2 linked regions of the Lepisosteus oculatus genome follow. The protein of the gene in region 1 purifies or fractionates together with the protein of each later gene. This does not show direct contact. Links are inferred from orthologs where the notes say so. Each region holds a gene or a part of one and is shown on either strand. Other genes may lie near its edges.

Region 1 (7,234 bases):
GTGTGTCAGAGTGTCTGGACAGTGTGTCCACACAGTGTGTCAGTGTGTTCTCCTAGACTCAGTGTCAGTACAGTGTGTCAGAGTGTCTGGACAGTGTGTCCACACAGTATGTCAGTGTGTTCTCCTTGACAGTGTCAGTACAGTGTGTCAGCATGTCTGGACAGTGTGTCTGCACAGTGTGTCAGTGTGTTTTCCTAGACTCAGTGTACAGTGTGTCTGGACAGTGTGTCAGTGTGTTCTCCTAGACTCTGTGTCTGTACAGTGTGTCAGTGTGTTCTCCTAGACTCTGTGTACAGTGTGTCAGTGTGTCTGTACAGTGAGTCAGTGTGTCAGTGTTTCTGGACAGTGTGTCAGTGTGTTCTCCTAGACTCAGTTTCTGGACAGTGTGTCAGTGTGTCAGTACAGTGTGTCAGTGTGTTCTCTTAGACTCAGTGTCTGGACAGTGTGTCAGAGTGTCTACACAGTGTGTCAGTGTGTTCTCCTAGACTCAGTGTCTGGACAGTGTGTCAGTGTGTCTGTACAGTGTGTCAGTGTGTTCTCTTAGACTCAGTGTCTGGACAGTGTGTCAGGATGTCTGGACAGTGTGTCAGTTTGTTCTCCTAGACTCAGTGTCCCTGCAGGAAGCCCGTGAGAGACACAGTGCTGCACTCTTACCTCCTCAGTAGGTACGCCAGCACTTGCGCTAAGTCGACGTCCTCCTCTGCTGCGGACCCTCTGTCGCTCTGCTCCTCTGCCCCTCTGTCCAACTGTCTCCTCGCCTGTCTGCGGCTTTGCTGGCCCCGGTTCTGGCTGCGTTCTGGCTCTGTCTCGTCTGGGTCACCACTGGAGGCCCGACCGGACATCCCAGAACTGGACTGAGAGCCCATAGACCGACACTTTGAGAAAGGTAAAGACAGGAATTAACACAGACACACTGACTGACTGGACACTCCAGTACATTAACACTGCACTGAGAGAGAGGGGTTCATACAGACACACTGACTGACTGGACACTCCAGTACATTAACACTGCACTGAGAGAGAGGGGTTCATACAGACACACTGACTGACTGGACACTCCAGTACATTAACACTGCACTGAGAGAGAGGGGTTCATACAGACACACTGACTGACTGGACACTCCAGTACATTAACACTGTACTGAGAGAGAGGGGTTCATACAGACACACTAACTGGACACTCCAGTACATTAACACTGCACTGAGAGAGAGGGGTTCATACAGACACACTGACTGGACACTCCAGTACATTAACACTGCACCGAGAGAGAGGGGTTAATACAGACACACTGACTGGACACTCCAGTACATTAACACTGCATTGAGAGAGAGGGGTTAATACAGACACACTGACTGGACACTCCAGTACATTAACACTGCACTGAGAGAGAGGGGTTCATACAGACACACTGACTGGACACTCCAGTACATTAACACTGCACTGAGAGAGAGGGGTTCATACAGACACACTGACTGGACACTCCAGTACATTAACACTGCACTGAGAGAGAGGGGTTCATACAGACACACTGACTGACTGGACACTCCAGTACATTAACACTGCACTGAGAGAGAGGGGTTCATACAGACACACTGACTGACTGGACACTCCAGTACATTAACACTGCACTGAGAGAGAGGGGTTAATACAGACACACTGACTGACTGGACACTCCAGTACATTAACACTGCACTGAGAGAGAGGGGTTCATACAGACACATTGACTGACTGGACACTCCAGTACATTAACACTGCACTGAGAGAGAGGGGTTCATGCAGACACACTGACTGACTGGACACTCCAGTACATTAACACTGCACTGAGAGAGAGGGGTTCATACAGACACACTGACTGGACACTCCAGTACATTAACACTGCACTGAGAGAGAGGGGTTCATACAGACACACTGACTGACTGGACACTCCAGTACATTAACACTGCACTGAGAGAGAGGGGTTCATACAGACACACTGACTGGACACTCCAGTACATTAACACTGCACTGAGAGAGAGGGGTTCATACAGACACACTGACTGACTGGACACTCCAGTACATTAACACTGCACTGAGAGAGAGGGGTTCATACAGACACACTGACTGGACACTCCAGTACATTAACACTGCACTGAGAGAGAGGGGTTCATACAGACACACTGACTGACTGGACACTCCAGTACATTAACACTGCACTGAGAGAGAGGGGTTCATACAGACACACTGACTGGACACTCCAGTACATTAACACTGCACTGAGAGAGAGGGGTTCATACAGACACATTGACTGACTGGACACTCCAGTACATTAACACTGCACTGAGAGAGAGGGGTTCATACAGACACACTGACTGACTGGACACTCCAGTACATTAACACTGCACTGAGAGAGAGGGGTTCATACAGACACACTGACTGGACACTCCAGTACATTAACACTGCACTGAGAGAGAGGGGTTCATACAGACACACTGACTGACTGGACACTCCAGTACATTAACACTGCACTGGGAGAGAGGGGTTAATCAGTAATTCGTCTAGTTTCCTCACTCGCCAAAATCGAAACGGCAGTTGTTCAGTGTCAAAATGCTTTCCTTATACTCCTCGACTAATTAACCAAGCTAATTATCTAATCAAATTAAATGTATCGTTATGTTACACCGACGACACGGGAAGACTCGCGTCTATTTCAGTGAATTAATCCCCTTCCGAAAATGACAATCATAAAAAGGCTCAATGAACACTTAACAAGAAACTCAACAGATAAATAGAAAATACAGTACCTGGTGAAATTTGTATTTAGGGCTTCGTTCGCGGATCGCGTTGTTGTCTTGCACGTTCTTCCTTTAACAATCAATAGGCTTATCAATACTAGCGAATCGATACTGCTTGGGTTTTTTTTTATTGTCACTGCTTGAGTTTACGTTAAGGAATAATCCCCAGGTAGGCCCCGGTCTTTTCTCTCCGAGTCGCCATGTTGTTTACATCGACGAGCTTTGCCCCCGCCGCGGTCACATGACCGGCCCATCGCCAAGGACACCCAGCCACCGAAGGGCTCCATTTTGCTTCCTCGTTGACATGGATTGCCAGCGCGCAGTTGGAAACTGGAGCCAAAATGGCCGTCCGACGGGTGGAAGCGGAGCTCCAGAACTGTCACTCTCTGAAGTGACATCAATCCGTCTGTCACCGCATCCCACACGGTGATTGGCTGATCCTGACGTCACCTCGCAGTAAGTGGAAGGATACGGTCCAGTTAATTTATTTTTCCTCTTTTCTGGTAACAAATTCAAGAGTTAACTGAAATGTGATACATAAGTGCAATTAATTTAAATTCATCAGACAATGTGCAATAGATATTGCAACCTGATACATTCTGGGGTTTGACAGTTTCGTACACTGACAAATAGAGAAGCCTATGAGTTTTCCCTTCTTTACACAAAGAGTGGTGGGAGTGTGTAACAAGCTGCCCAGCCATGTTCCTGAAGCCGATACCCTGGCTGCTCTCAAGAAACAGCTGGATGAGATCTTGGGGTTAATGAGCCACTAATTACAAAACTAATTACCAAACAGGTTGGATGAACCGAGTGGCCTCGTCTCGTTTGAGACCTGTCTTGTGTTCCATCCAACTTTATCAGGTACAGGGTCGTGTGGGAGAGCTGCAGCAGGCAAGGGCCACAAGGAAGAACACCAGTCCATCACAGGACACACACAGACACACACTCTCACACACCCTGGACAGGACGCCAGTCCATCACAGGACACACACAGACACACTCTCTCACACACCCTGGACAGGACACCAGTCCATCACAGGACACACACACAGACACACACTCTCACACACCCTGGGCAGGACACCAGTCCATCACACGACACACACAGACACACACTCACACACCCTGGACAGGACACCAGTCCACCACAGGACACACACAGACACACACTCTCACACACCCTGGACAGGACACCAGTCCATCACAGGACACACACACACACACACACACACACACACACACTGTCACACACCCTGGACAGGACGCCAGTCCATCACAGGACACACAAAGACACACACTCACACACCCTGGACAGGACGCCAGTCCATCACAGGACACACACACACACTGTCACACACCCTGGACAGGACGCCAGTCCATCACAGGACACACACAGACACACACTCTCACACACCCTGGACAGGACACCAGTCCACCACAGGACACACACAGACACACACACACTCTCACACACCCTGGACAGGACATGGGTCCATCGCAGGACACACACAGACAAACACTCTCACACACCCTGGACAGGACATGGGTCCATTGCAGGACACACACAGACAAACACTCTCACACACCCTGGACAGGACACCAGTCCATCACAGGACACACACACACACACACACTCTCACACACACACTGGACAGGACGCCAGTCCATCCCAGGACACACACAGACACACACTCTCACGCACCCTGGACAGGACACCAGTCCATCACAGGAAACACACAGACACACACTCTCACACACCCTGGACAGGATACCAGTCCATCACAGGACACACACAGACACACTCTCACGCATCCTGGACAGGACACCAGTCCATCACAGGACACACACACACTCTCACACACCCTGGACAGGACACCAGTCCATCACAGGACACACACAGACACACACTCACACACCCTGGACAGGACACCAGTCCATCACAGGACACACACACACACACACACTCTCACACACACTGGACAGGACGCCAGTCCATCCCAGGACACACACAGACACACACTCTCACGCACCCTGGACAGGACATCAGTCCATCACAGGACACACACAGACACACACTCTCACGCACCCTGGACAGGACACCAGTCCATCACAGGACACACACACACACACACACACACCCTGGACAGGACACCAGTCCAGCTCAGGTGTGATGGAGCCCCTGCAGGAGACATTATTATTATTATTATTATTATTATTATTATTATTATTGTTGTTCTTTTACCAGGACTTGGAGCCCTGCTGTAGACACTAGTCTACAGCAATAACAGATTATTATTATTGTTGATGATAATAATAATAATTGACTGGGAGCCCCTGCTGTAGACACTGGTCTAGCTGCTGTCTCATCATCCAGCTGCACATTGTCCCATATAAGTGTAAGGAATTATTTTATTATTATTATTATTATTATTATTATTATTAATCCAGGACTGGGGGCCCCTGCTGTAGACACTGGTGCTGTCTGGTGGGCAGTGGGCTGTTCGGAAGCTCTAGACACCCGTACCCGTTCCTAAGAGGACTAGACTTGACTTGAGGCCAACAGCTCTGGCTCCATGAGCGAGCAGGACTCTTGAAGAAGCAGGCCAGTCCCATACCATGGCCGCAGTACAGTCAGGTCCCGGCCCCCTCCAGTTGGCCTGCTGTCCTGGAAGGGGAGCCCATGATGCTAAGATTTTTCTTTTAGAAGTCCAGGTCCATTCTCGAGGACCCCAGTCATCCCAGTCACAAACTGTTTTCTCTTACGCATTCGGTCAAAGTCCGACAGATCAGGGAACAGCTTCTACCTCCAGGCAATAAGACCGCTAAACAGCCAAGCTGCAGCTCCTTCAGCAAATCACCTGTACTGGCTACAGGGACACACAGTTTCACCGTATTCAGCATAACTGCACTACTGGGACACACTGTACTGCACACACCCTGGACACAGAGCAGCTCCATTGATATCTATACTGAGCTCTGTCTGACTTTATCTCATTCAATTTCTAGTGCACTGTTATCGATCATTATTTCACCTTATTTTGCAACTTTAATTTTGTGATTCCCCCCCCGTGAGCTTGTAGAACAGACATTTCACTGCCAGCAACTACTGCTGCACGTGGTATTGTTGTGCGTTTGATAAATAAACTCCGACTGATTGATTGAACCTTTGATTGATTCTGTATAAGCACTTAGAATAAATCAGCTGCCAGACTTGTGTTTGCTGTGTCCTCATCAGCCTTTCACACAATGCAGCCACACATTTTGGTTGAAAACCTAATCACAGGTTTCAGATGGGATCATCAGCTGATCATGTGCATCGTTAGTTTTCTGGCCAATAAAACACAAAATGTATCTGTTAATGGTTTGGCCTCTGACTCCATTTGTAGTTCTGCTGGATCACCACCAGGCGGTGCTATTTCCCCCTTCTCTTCCTCTTATATAGCGATGGCGGTAGCCATCGAAGCAACTCTGAAAATCATTACATCACCAGGCCTGCTGGTGAGAGTGTACTAGTGTCCCTCCTCTCAGAGCCTGGATGAGCACACAGACCCAGTCCGGATGAATTCGGCAACTGGTCTGATACTTCTTACCAGGAGATGAAGGGTGGTGTGGTGGCTCTGTGGCTCAGGATCTGCGCCTGTGACTGGAAGGCTGCCGGTTCGAATCCCACGGCTGGCAGAGGAATCCTACTGCCAGGCCCTTCACCCCAGCCCCTCTAAGGGTGCTGTACAAATGGCTGACCCTGCGCTCTGACCCCCAGCTTCTTCCCCTGTCTGTGTGTCTCATGGAGAACAAGCTGGGGTCTGGGAAAAGACAAATTCCTAATGCAAGCGATTGTATAGGGCCAATAAAGTGATCGTATCTTATTTTATAAAGGTGTCAGAAACAAAAGAAATGACTGTTGATTTGAAAAACATCATTCCCACAGCGATCCATGGTGGGGGGTCTGGTGGTGTAGTCCACTGCGTTGGACGATGAACTCAAGTTTCTTGTGGAGTAATCGCATACAGCGCTGGTGTGGTCTGAGACACCCGAACTCCTTCGGAGCCCGCAAAAGACTTCTCTCACCATTCTGTAGCACTTTCATCCAAAAGTATTTTAGATCACATCAGATCACATCAGATCGAACGTCTGCTGGTTCACATCACTCGGCCACCATTGACCAACTCGGCCTTAGAACGCTGTGGCCCTCAGCTGTCGAGGCCCTGGAGGGCCTTTCAGACCCCTGTGGCAGCTGGGAGCCCAGCAGGGCGCCACCACTGAGCGCCCACCTCGATCCCACAGCCCTCTGCAGGCTCCCGGGCAACGGGCTTCGGGAAGAGCTTTCCTCTGTCCGCAGGGCAGGACGAGCAACGGGACCTTCAGCTTGGTTTCCAGAGGCCAGCCGGCTCTCAACCGATCAACAGGTGTAAGTAAAGAAGTTTAACAATAATCCTTACTCTTCATAATCCTTAATCCTAAA
Region 2 (7,969 bases), on another chromosome or scaffold:
CCAGCTCTGCAGACTTCAGTATGATATGTTATTGGCAATGTAACACCAGTCACGCCGGCATACTCCGAGAATTAACACCAACAACCCTGACCCCCCACAATCCCAGGCAGTCAAAACTCACATCAGTGTGTTTGGTCATGGGGTTCAGTTTGAGGAACAGGGGGCTCTCGATGATCTCACAAACCTGCCCGGGGGGAGAGAGAGGCAGAGATAGACAGTGTTAAGACACTCTGAACCCACTAGGCATGCTGCAGCAAAGCTGGTTCCCCTGTACTGTACCCGTGTCCCAGCCTGCATAAGCTTGGACTCATTACAGAAGAGCTGCAGGCATAGAACCGGCTCACATGAAACGTGTGCAGATCAGGAGACCAGCCCTAGGAGGAGCCACTAGTCGGTCTGAGCAGCTACAAGATGACCCTGACTTCTAAGTGAAGAGAACATCCAGCACATAATCAGATGTACACAGCAGGGCGGACACTGCTAGAACCAATAAAGACAATGAAGAGCACCGAGAGAAACAGCAGGTGAGCAAATTATTGATGGTGTGATGGTGACGGCTTCGTAACTGAATGATCGGAGACTTGACAATGCAGGATGAGCTGCAGCTGCAATGTCCTGATGTGATCATTCTCCAGTGACCACTGGACTGCCGCCTGAGCACCCACCCACCTGCTTGTGAATGTGGATATCTGATTGGTCAGGAGGCCCGCCTGTTGTGTACCAGCCCAAGAACTCCATGTCCTTGAACACCTGCTTAACTGAGAGATGGAGCCGGAGAGAGAGAGGAATAAGAGGGAACATCAGGAGGAGAGAGGGAAGAAAATTGAAGATTATTTGTTTCAAAGCAATGCAACAGATTCAAAATTAAAAACATGCCCATCAGGCCCACTGTCCGACACCCACGCTCTCCCACTGACCCACGCCCCACTCACACTGCTCCTCCTTGGTGTAGTAGTATTCCTTGTCAATGACGGCTCGGTCATCCACTGTGTGGAAAAGCAGCTCAAACGAGTTCATCACCTCGATGTTCCGGCCTTCCTGCTTCCCAATCAGGGCTCCGATCACTGTGTGGGAACAACGCACCGAATCAGCACACACATTGTGAGCACACACTGACACAGACTCCACACACAGTCAGCAGGCACTGACAGTGTCCACACACACTGACACAGACTCCACACTGACAGTGTCCACACACACAGTCAGCACACACTGACACAGACTCCACAGACACTGATACAGATCACATCCACTGCATCACTAAAATCCCAGGCACACAATCCACCTTTAACCAAGAATATCCTTGTTCATACATTTACAGACAGTAGTTGGATTTAATCTGCACAAAGAACCAAAGTTACAGAAACAGTTGGCTTTTGCAGATGACTTTCCACACTGTCATTTGTTACAAGACAAGCAATGGAGAAGCTGGAAAGCCCCTCCGAGACACTCTGACCTTGCACGGCCCGTCCCTCCTGTGATCGCATGCGGATCCAGTGGTCAGAGATGTTGAGGATGACAAGGGGGTGAAGAGCCACTGAAACGCTGCCCGTCACCCCAGATGCCATGACACTGGGACTGACTGAGAGAAGGAGAAAGGATTAGTACTGACACACTGGACACTACAGTAATAATAATAATAATTAATAATTGCTTACAGTTATATAGCGCTTTTCTGGACACTCCACTCAAAGTGCTTTACAGGTAATGGGGACTCCCCTCCACCACTTCCAATGTGCAGCATCCACCTGGATGATGCGACGGCAGCCATAGTGTGCCAGTACTCTCACCACACATCAGCTATCAGTGGGGAGGAGAGCAGAGTAATGAAGCCAATTCATAGAGGGGGATTATTAGGAGGCCATGATTGGTAAGGGCCAATGGGAAATTTGGCCAGGATGCCGGGGTTACACCCCTACTCTTTTCGAGAAACACCCTAGGATTTTTAATGACCACAGGTTTTACATCTCATCCAGGTTTACAGTCTAGTGTCCCCGTCACTATACTGGGGCATTAGGACCCACATGGACTGCAGGGTGAGGGTGACTAGGCTCACACCTGCTTAGCTTCAGTGGGCTGCCAGTTGTGAGTTGCAGGGTGATATGGCTGAGTACATTAACACTGCACTGGGAGCGAGAGGGGTTAATACAGACACGCTGGACACTACAGTATATTAACAATGGTATAGGATAGGCTGTGTGTGATCACCTGGGATCTAACATTTCAAACACAATACAGAGAAACCAAGTGACAGTTCCGCACACAAAGTGGTTTAAAAACAAGCTACTCAGCCACCTTGCTGAAGCTGACACCCTGGCTTCATTCAAAATCCCGCTAGATCAATTATCTATCGAATGCCTTCTTATTTGCATCACGTATTTTCTTAATAAAACACGAGTCAGTTTGCCGGTTCTTTCAATAAAAAAAAAACAGATCAGGGGCGATTCTCAAATAAATTATACAAGAATCACTAAATGTATCTTCGTAAGCTTTATAACTCCATAAAATTAACAGATTGATGACAAATACTTATTAATTTCCAAATTTCTTAAACTACTGTACACAGACACAACAGATTAGTGAAGTGTTTGGAATCGTCAAAAACAAGAGTGACACCAAATTAAGCCAATCAATACACTTCTTTCAGAAAAAGGGCGGTACGTACTCACAGTCGTCCAATCAAACAGAAGAATACACAGCTCCTTGACCAATCAGTATGTATGTGAAGGGCAGCTGTTAAAAACATCGCTATACCCGGTTTATACCAAGACAAAATCATTTTTATCTCGCGCTTCGTTATTATTAGTCCCCGAAATGAGAATGTTTTGAGACACCAGCTGTCCACGAATGTTACCATTTTTTAAGTTAAAATGAAATGTACTTGAAAGCAGAGAATGTATTACCTGCCGCATCTACTTCCATTCCCCCGCCGTTGCTCGCCGCCATCTTGATCTCCGCGCAGCTCACACTGGCGCACCCGGGACGCGCATGTGCAGTAGGCCACGAGGAGGGACGTACTTGTGCACTATTACCCTGTCGCCAGTAGAGGGGCCTGCTCCCCCTAATAATAATTAATAATAATAATAATTGTAATAATAATAATTGCTTATACTGTTATAGCGCTTTTCTGGACACTCCACTCAAAGTGCTTTACAGGTAATGGGGTCTCCCCTCCACCACCACCAATGTGCAGCCCCACCTGGATGATGCGACGGCAGCCAGAGTGAACCAGAACACTCACCACACACCAGCTATCTGTAGGGAGGAGAGCAGAATGATGAAGCCAATTCATAGATGGGGATTATTAGGATAGCCAAGATTGGTAAAAACGGCAATGAGAAATTTCGCCAGGAGTTACACTCCTGCTCTTTTTGAGAAACACCCTGGTATTTTTAATGACCACAGAGAGTCAGGACCTAACTTTTACATCTCATACAAAGGTCTTTTTTACAGTATAGTGTACCTGTCGCTATAATGGGGCATTAGGATCCACATGGACTGCAGGGTGGGCGCCCCCTGCTGGCCCCACTAACACCTCTTCCAGCAGCAGCCTTAGTTTTTCCCAGGAGGTCTCCCATCCAGGTACTGACCAGGCTCACACCTGCTTAGCTTCAGGGGGGTTGCTAGTTGTGAGCTGCAGGGTGATATAGCTGCATATTAGCATAGTCCTGAAGCTGAAATTCCTTTCTTGGAAAGGCTCAGTGAGTGAGTCTACCTTCAACTCTGAAAGCGCTGAAACACGGAGTGAAGGAACTGAAAGAATTGAGACTGTGAGGGATTTTGGTTCTTGCATTTGGATTAATATAGTAAAAGAATACATTACATAACATGATGTAATCATTGGCTTATATTGGGTGTTATAATACGTAATGTGTATTCTTCTCTTTGTCCGTGATGTATGGGTCATGTATATATTATACAATGTTTATATTCTAGAATGTATAAAATATATACATTAGTTATTTTCTGCATGAAAAAGCACCTCTAGCTACTCCAGAAGTAGGCTGGATCCGAACAATGTAAGTAACTGTATTGAGAGAGTCAGGAGATCAAATTGTATTAATACAATAACCGTTAATAGCCTTCCGTGGTGTGAAATTTCAAAATGGTGTACAATAAAACAATCACACAGCTGAGACAAGATCCACACAAATTATAACACCCAATTAAGCAAACCAGCAAGCAAAACTAGAGACGCGGAGTGCATGTTTTTAGCCAAAGAGTTGCCGATGTCTGGAGCAAACCTGCGAGTAAAGACGGGGTGAGTTTCTGGGATGGATTAGCTGCGACCAGCAGTTTGATCTTTACTTCTTTTTTTTAATTCATGGAGCAATGCACCGCTTCTAGGAGCTCTGTGATTAGTAGTGAGTGGGTTTTATATAACAAAGAACTTGACCAACTAGTTCAACCGCGAGTTTTATTCTCATTTCGTAGCAGGAAAAGGGGTATAATGTATTTTACAAAAAACAATGCTCCGGCAGATATTTTGTGTTCCTGTCGCATTGAGCGAGAAAGCGTGTTATTTATTGTCTTATCTACTCAGCTTGTGGCTACGGAGTAATGCATATTTTGAACTGGACCACACCGACATTTTTAAGGGGAAACCTGAAACGTCAAACACGTCAACGTCAACTTCAAGCGCTCACTAATTACGTCATTCAGCTTGATCACCAATCAAGTGACACCATTGATTAACCAATGGTAGCTCCCAAGGTCGGACTGTGACCAATCGCAGCGCCAGCCCACAGATAGGGGCGGGACTAGTTCCTGACGTTCCTACCCGGTAAAGTCAACAGCGGTGGTCCTTTTGTTTACAGACTAGAATGGCCGCTGAGGGTAGCGGTTCTTTGGATTACTTCCCGGAAAACATTTTATTAGACATCTTATCGTACCTAAACGTGCGAGACTTGCTGAGAGCAGCCAGGTGAGGATTCTCAAGTCACTACCGGCATATGTTTATGTGTCACTGAAAGTGGTGCTTTAACTACAGGGTGACTCTTGCCCCGGACACACCTGTTGTTTTAGGAGTTGGTGTAGTGCAGGACTTCACTGTGGTCCCAGTGATAATCAAGATATACTCAACTGGTTCGGAAATGCAGTTCGTGGTCCTGGATGACGACGCCATTAAAACCCAACTACAGTAAATCCTCAGCGCTGTAGTTGCGTTCCCCAAAACATGCCTTTTAATGAGACTACGATTTCCTCATGACAAATGACAGAGAAGTCAATGTCTGCGTTCGTGGCTGTCAATTCACACCTTTACATTCATTCTTATTGATATTTCCCAACTATAGTCTGTGTTTTCAAGTGTAGACGCGTGTTTGTATTAGTATCATTATATGCGAGTATAATGAATTTGTGTATAAGTTTGTATTTGAATGTCTTTGTGTGTTTGCATCGGCCGTTTGCTTTAAACAGATTTCCTAACGCTAGTAAAAGAATACATTACATAACATGATGTAATCATTGGCTTATATGGGGTGTTATAATACGTAACGTGTATTCTTCTCTTTGTCCGTGATGTATGGGTCATGTATATATTATACAATGTTTATATTCTAGAATGTATAAAATATATACATTAGTTATTTTCTGCATGAAAAAGCACCTCTAGCTACTTCAGAAGTAGGCTGGAGTAGATCCGAACAATGTAAGTAACTGTATTGAGAGAGTCAGGAGATCAAATTGATCACTTGAAGGTAGATCAAGTGTCCACTGATCTGTCAAGACAAAACGGAGGTTTTGAAATGATTGTGATGTCAGCTGAGACCCTCAGCTGGGCTCATAGCTACACCAGACTTGAAGTGATACTTCATATCTGAACAGGTAAACAAGTGTCCTTTTCTTTCTGTGTTTGAGGCACCAGTTCCCCTAGACCAGGTGTCAGACTCAGTTCCTGTTGGGCTCATTGCCTCCCCACTTCTGGGCTACACAGTGGGCCTAATTATTTTATTAGCTGCAGAATTTTACCGCTTGTCACAGAGGTTTGAGAAATGGCCTGCGAAAGAGCTTTAGAAATATCCTGTAACTGCATAAGAAAATAATGAGACTCAGACTGAGGGGAAAACCTGAAGACACTGGGCTCTGCAGTTACAGGATGAGTTTGAGACGGTTCTAACATTCTCCAAGACGGGAGTCTCTTCAGTCCCTGCCACCTGAACAGACACAGAGCCAAGCGGCTCTGTTTTGGGGTTAATTTATGTTAGTGGTGTGTGTGGTATCTATACAGTACTTTTATTTTGTTGCATGTAGGTTGCAGTTAAAACAGTGCGTTTACAGGGGCAAAGTCACAGGAAACTGCTGTTATTTCCCATAAGAGCTTATTGATTTGTCCGGTGTTGACTTTTCAGGGTTGGTGAGGGATCCCTATGTTCATATATACTCCAGAACAAGCTGTGGAACCTCCTCTGCAAGTACCGATTTGAGATCTTCTGCCCGCTGGGTAGCTGTTTGACCTTTGGGCTCATAACAAGACTTGTTCCATAAACCTTTTCTCCCACTGCAGGGTGTGCAAGAGGTGGAAGAGGCTTATCCGTGACCACAGGCTGTGGAGACGTGTGGATTTAACCAAGTGCGGCGTGGTGAGTTGCCGTCTTGCCCAACTGTTCCTGTGACTTGCCAGTGGAGCTGCTCTGCGACAGAGTGCAGTGAGAGTCGAATTACCCGGAACTCTTCATCTGCAACCTGTCGCATCTTCGTACCCATAACTGACTGGAGCGCTTCACACTGTGCGGGGTCACCGCTGGGAGACTGTGATCTGTTCTAGCCCTCTTCACACTGGCCTGCCCGAGCTGAGCCATCGCGATGCAGCTAGCCCTGTTCGTTTTGTCAAGCTGAGCCATAACCAAGCCCAACACGCTTTGTTGTCCTATGCCGGGTCCCAGCAGGCCCGGGCCCTGCAGAGCAGGCTCCTGAAAGAGGGAAGTGACTGAGGGTCTTTTCTTGTGTTGATAATGGAAGCCCCAAATTCAGGACAGTACACCCGACAGCACAGCCTGATTTTCTTCTTCCATTCTGACAGGTGAACTCGAGGTTGCTGTGGTTGCTGGTGAGGCGGTACCTGGGCGCCGGACTGCGAGTGCTCTGTCTGAGGGGCCTTCTGTTTTCCGTCAGAAACCGCGCTCTCCTCTCTCAGCCCTGGCTGCAGGCGCTTGCCAGACAGTGTCCCAAGCTGCACTGTCTCATCCTGCTGCACGCTGACCTGAAGGAGGTGGGCAACTACCAGCGCCTGCCTGCCTCTCTGAAGACGCTAGAGCTCATTACCTGTGAGGTGCCGGGGGCATTCTTCCACAGCAGTGGTGTCAGCAGTGGGATCAGGATAGAGACCTTAGTTGTGGAAAACGTGTCCTCTTTCTCAGACCAGCACCTGAAAGCGCTGGGAAACTGGGAGACCCTGAGGAGGCTTGAGCTGAGGGATGCCTTCAGGGTGACAGAAGCTGGCATCCGTGGTTGTGCCAGCGGACACCTGACACAGCTGGAGAGCCTAGAACTCGGGAGGAAAGGCAGATGCTCCACGCAGAACGAGAGGGCGGCGGCGGGCATCGCAGAGGGACTGCCAGGCCTGGTGGAGCTAACCCTGGGTGGGGCTGAAGTGCTGAACGGGCTGCCTTGTCTCCCGCGCCTGGCCCGGCTGCGTTCCCTGCGGCTCCAGCACTCCTCCCTGTCCCCCGCTGACCTCCTGCCTGCCTGCCAGGAAGCGCCCTCCCTCCGCAGCGTGGTGCTCAGCGATGTCTCGTTCTCCAGCGCCGCCGACCAGGACTCCATCCAGCAGGGCTTGCTCCATTGCGCTGTGACTTGCGTCCGCTGCACTGCAAGGGCTGTGCAAAGTTAGGCCTCACAAAGCAGGACAAAGGCAGTGCCCTCGGTCAGCCAGCAATGGTCAGACATTTGCCTCTTGGAGATCTCTCCCTTTGTTTTGTAAAGGGTTTGTTTTTTCCAGGCAATTTATTAATTCATATTTGGTGGAAAT

What was found. The genes of interacting proteins can lie anywhere in the genome.
Region 2: the proteins of dcaf11 (region 1) and cops6 purify together in Homo sapiens (affinity purification with mass spectrometry; 6 studies listed by BioGRID and IntAct, counting the BioPlex papers as one, with this or other methods). This does not show direct contact. The link is inferred for Lepisosteus oculatus from reciprocal best matches to the Homo sapiens genes DCAF11 and COPS6.

What each region holds. Positions count from the first base shown.
Region 1 is NC_090699.1:14,359,371-14,366,604, reverse strand, and holds the start of dcaf11 (DDB1- and CUL4-associated factor 11), read right to left. Parts: upstream 3,018-7,234; 5' UTR 2,782-3,017; intron 876-2,781; 5' UTR 867-875; coding exon 655-866; intron 1-654. UniProt on the Homo sapiens protein: May function as a substrate receptor for CUL4-DDB1 E3 ubiquitin-protein ligase complex.
Region 2 is NC_090698.1:12,443,045-12,451,013, forward strand, and holds the start of cops6 (COP9 signalosome complex subunit 6), read right to left. Parts: upstream 3,002-7,969; 5' UTR 2,947-3,001; coding exon 2,904-2,946; intron 1,583-2,903; coding exon 1,457-1,582; intron 1,065-1,456; coding exon 933-1,064; intron 759-932; coding exon 670-758; intron 185-669; coding exon 122-184; intron 1-121. Other genes in the region: F-box/LRR-repeat protein 12, read left to right, coding at 4,824-4,924, 6,506-6,581, 7,022-7,831. UniProt on the Homo sapiens protein: Component of the COP9 signalosome complex (CSN), a complex involved in various cellular and developmental processes.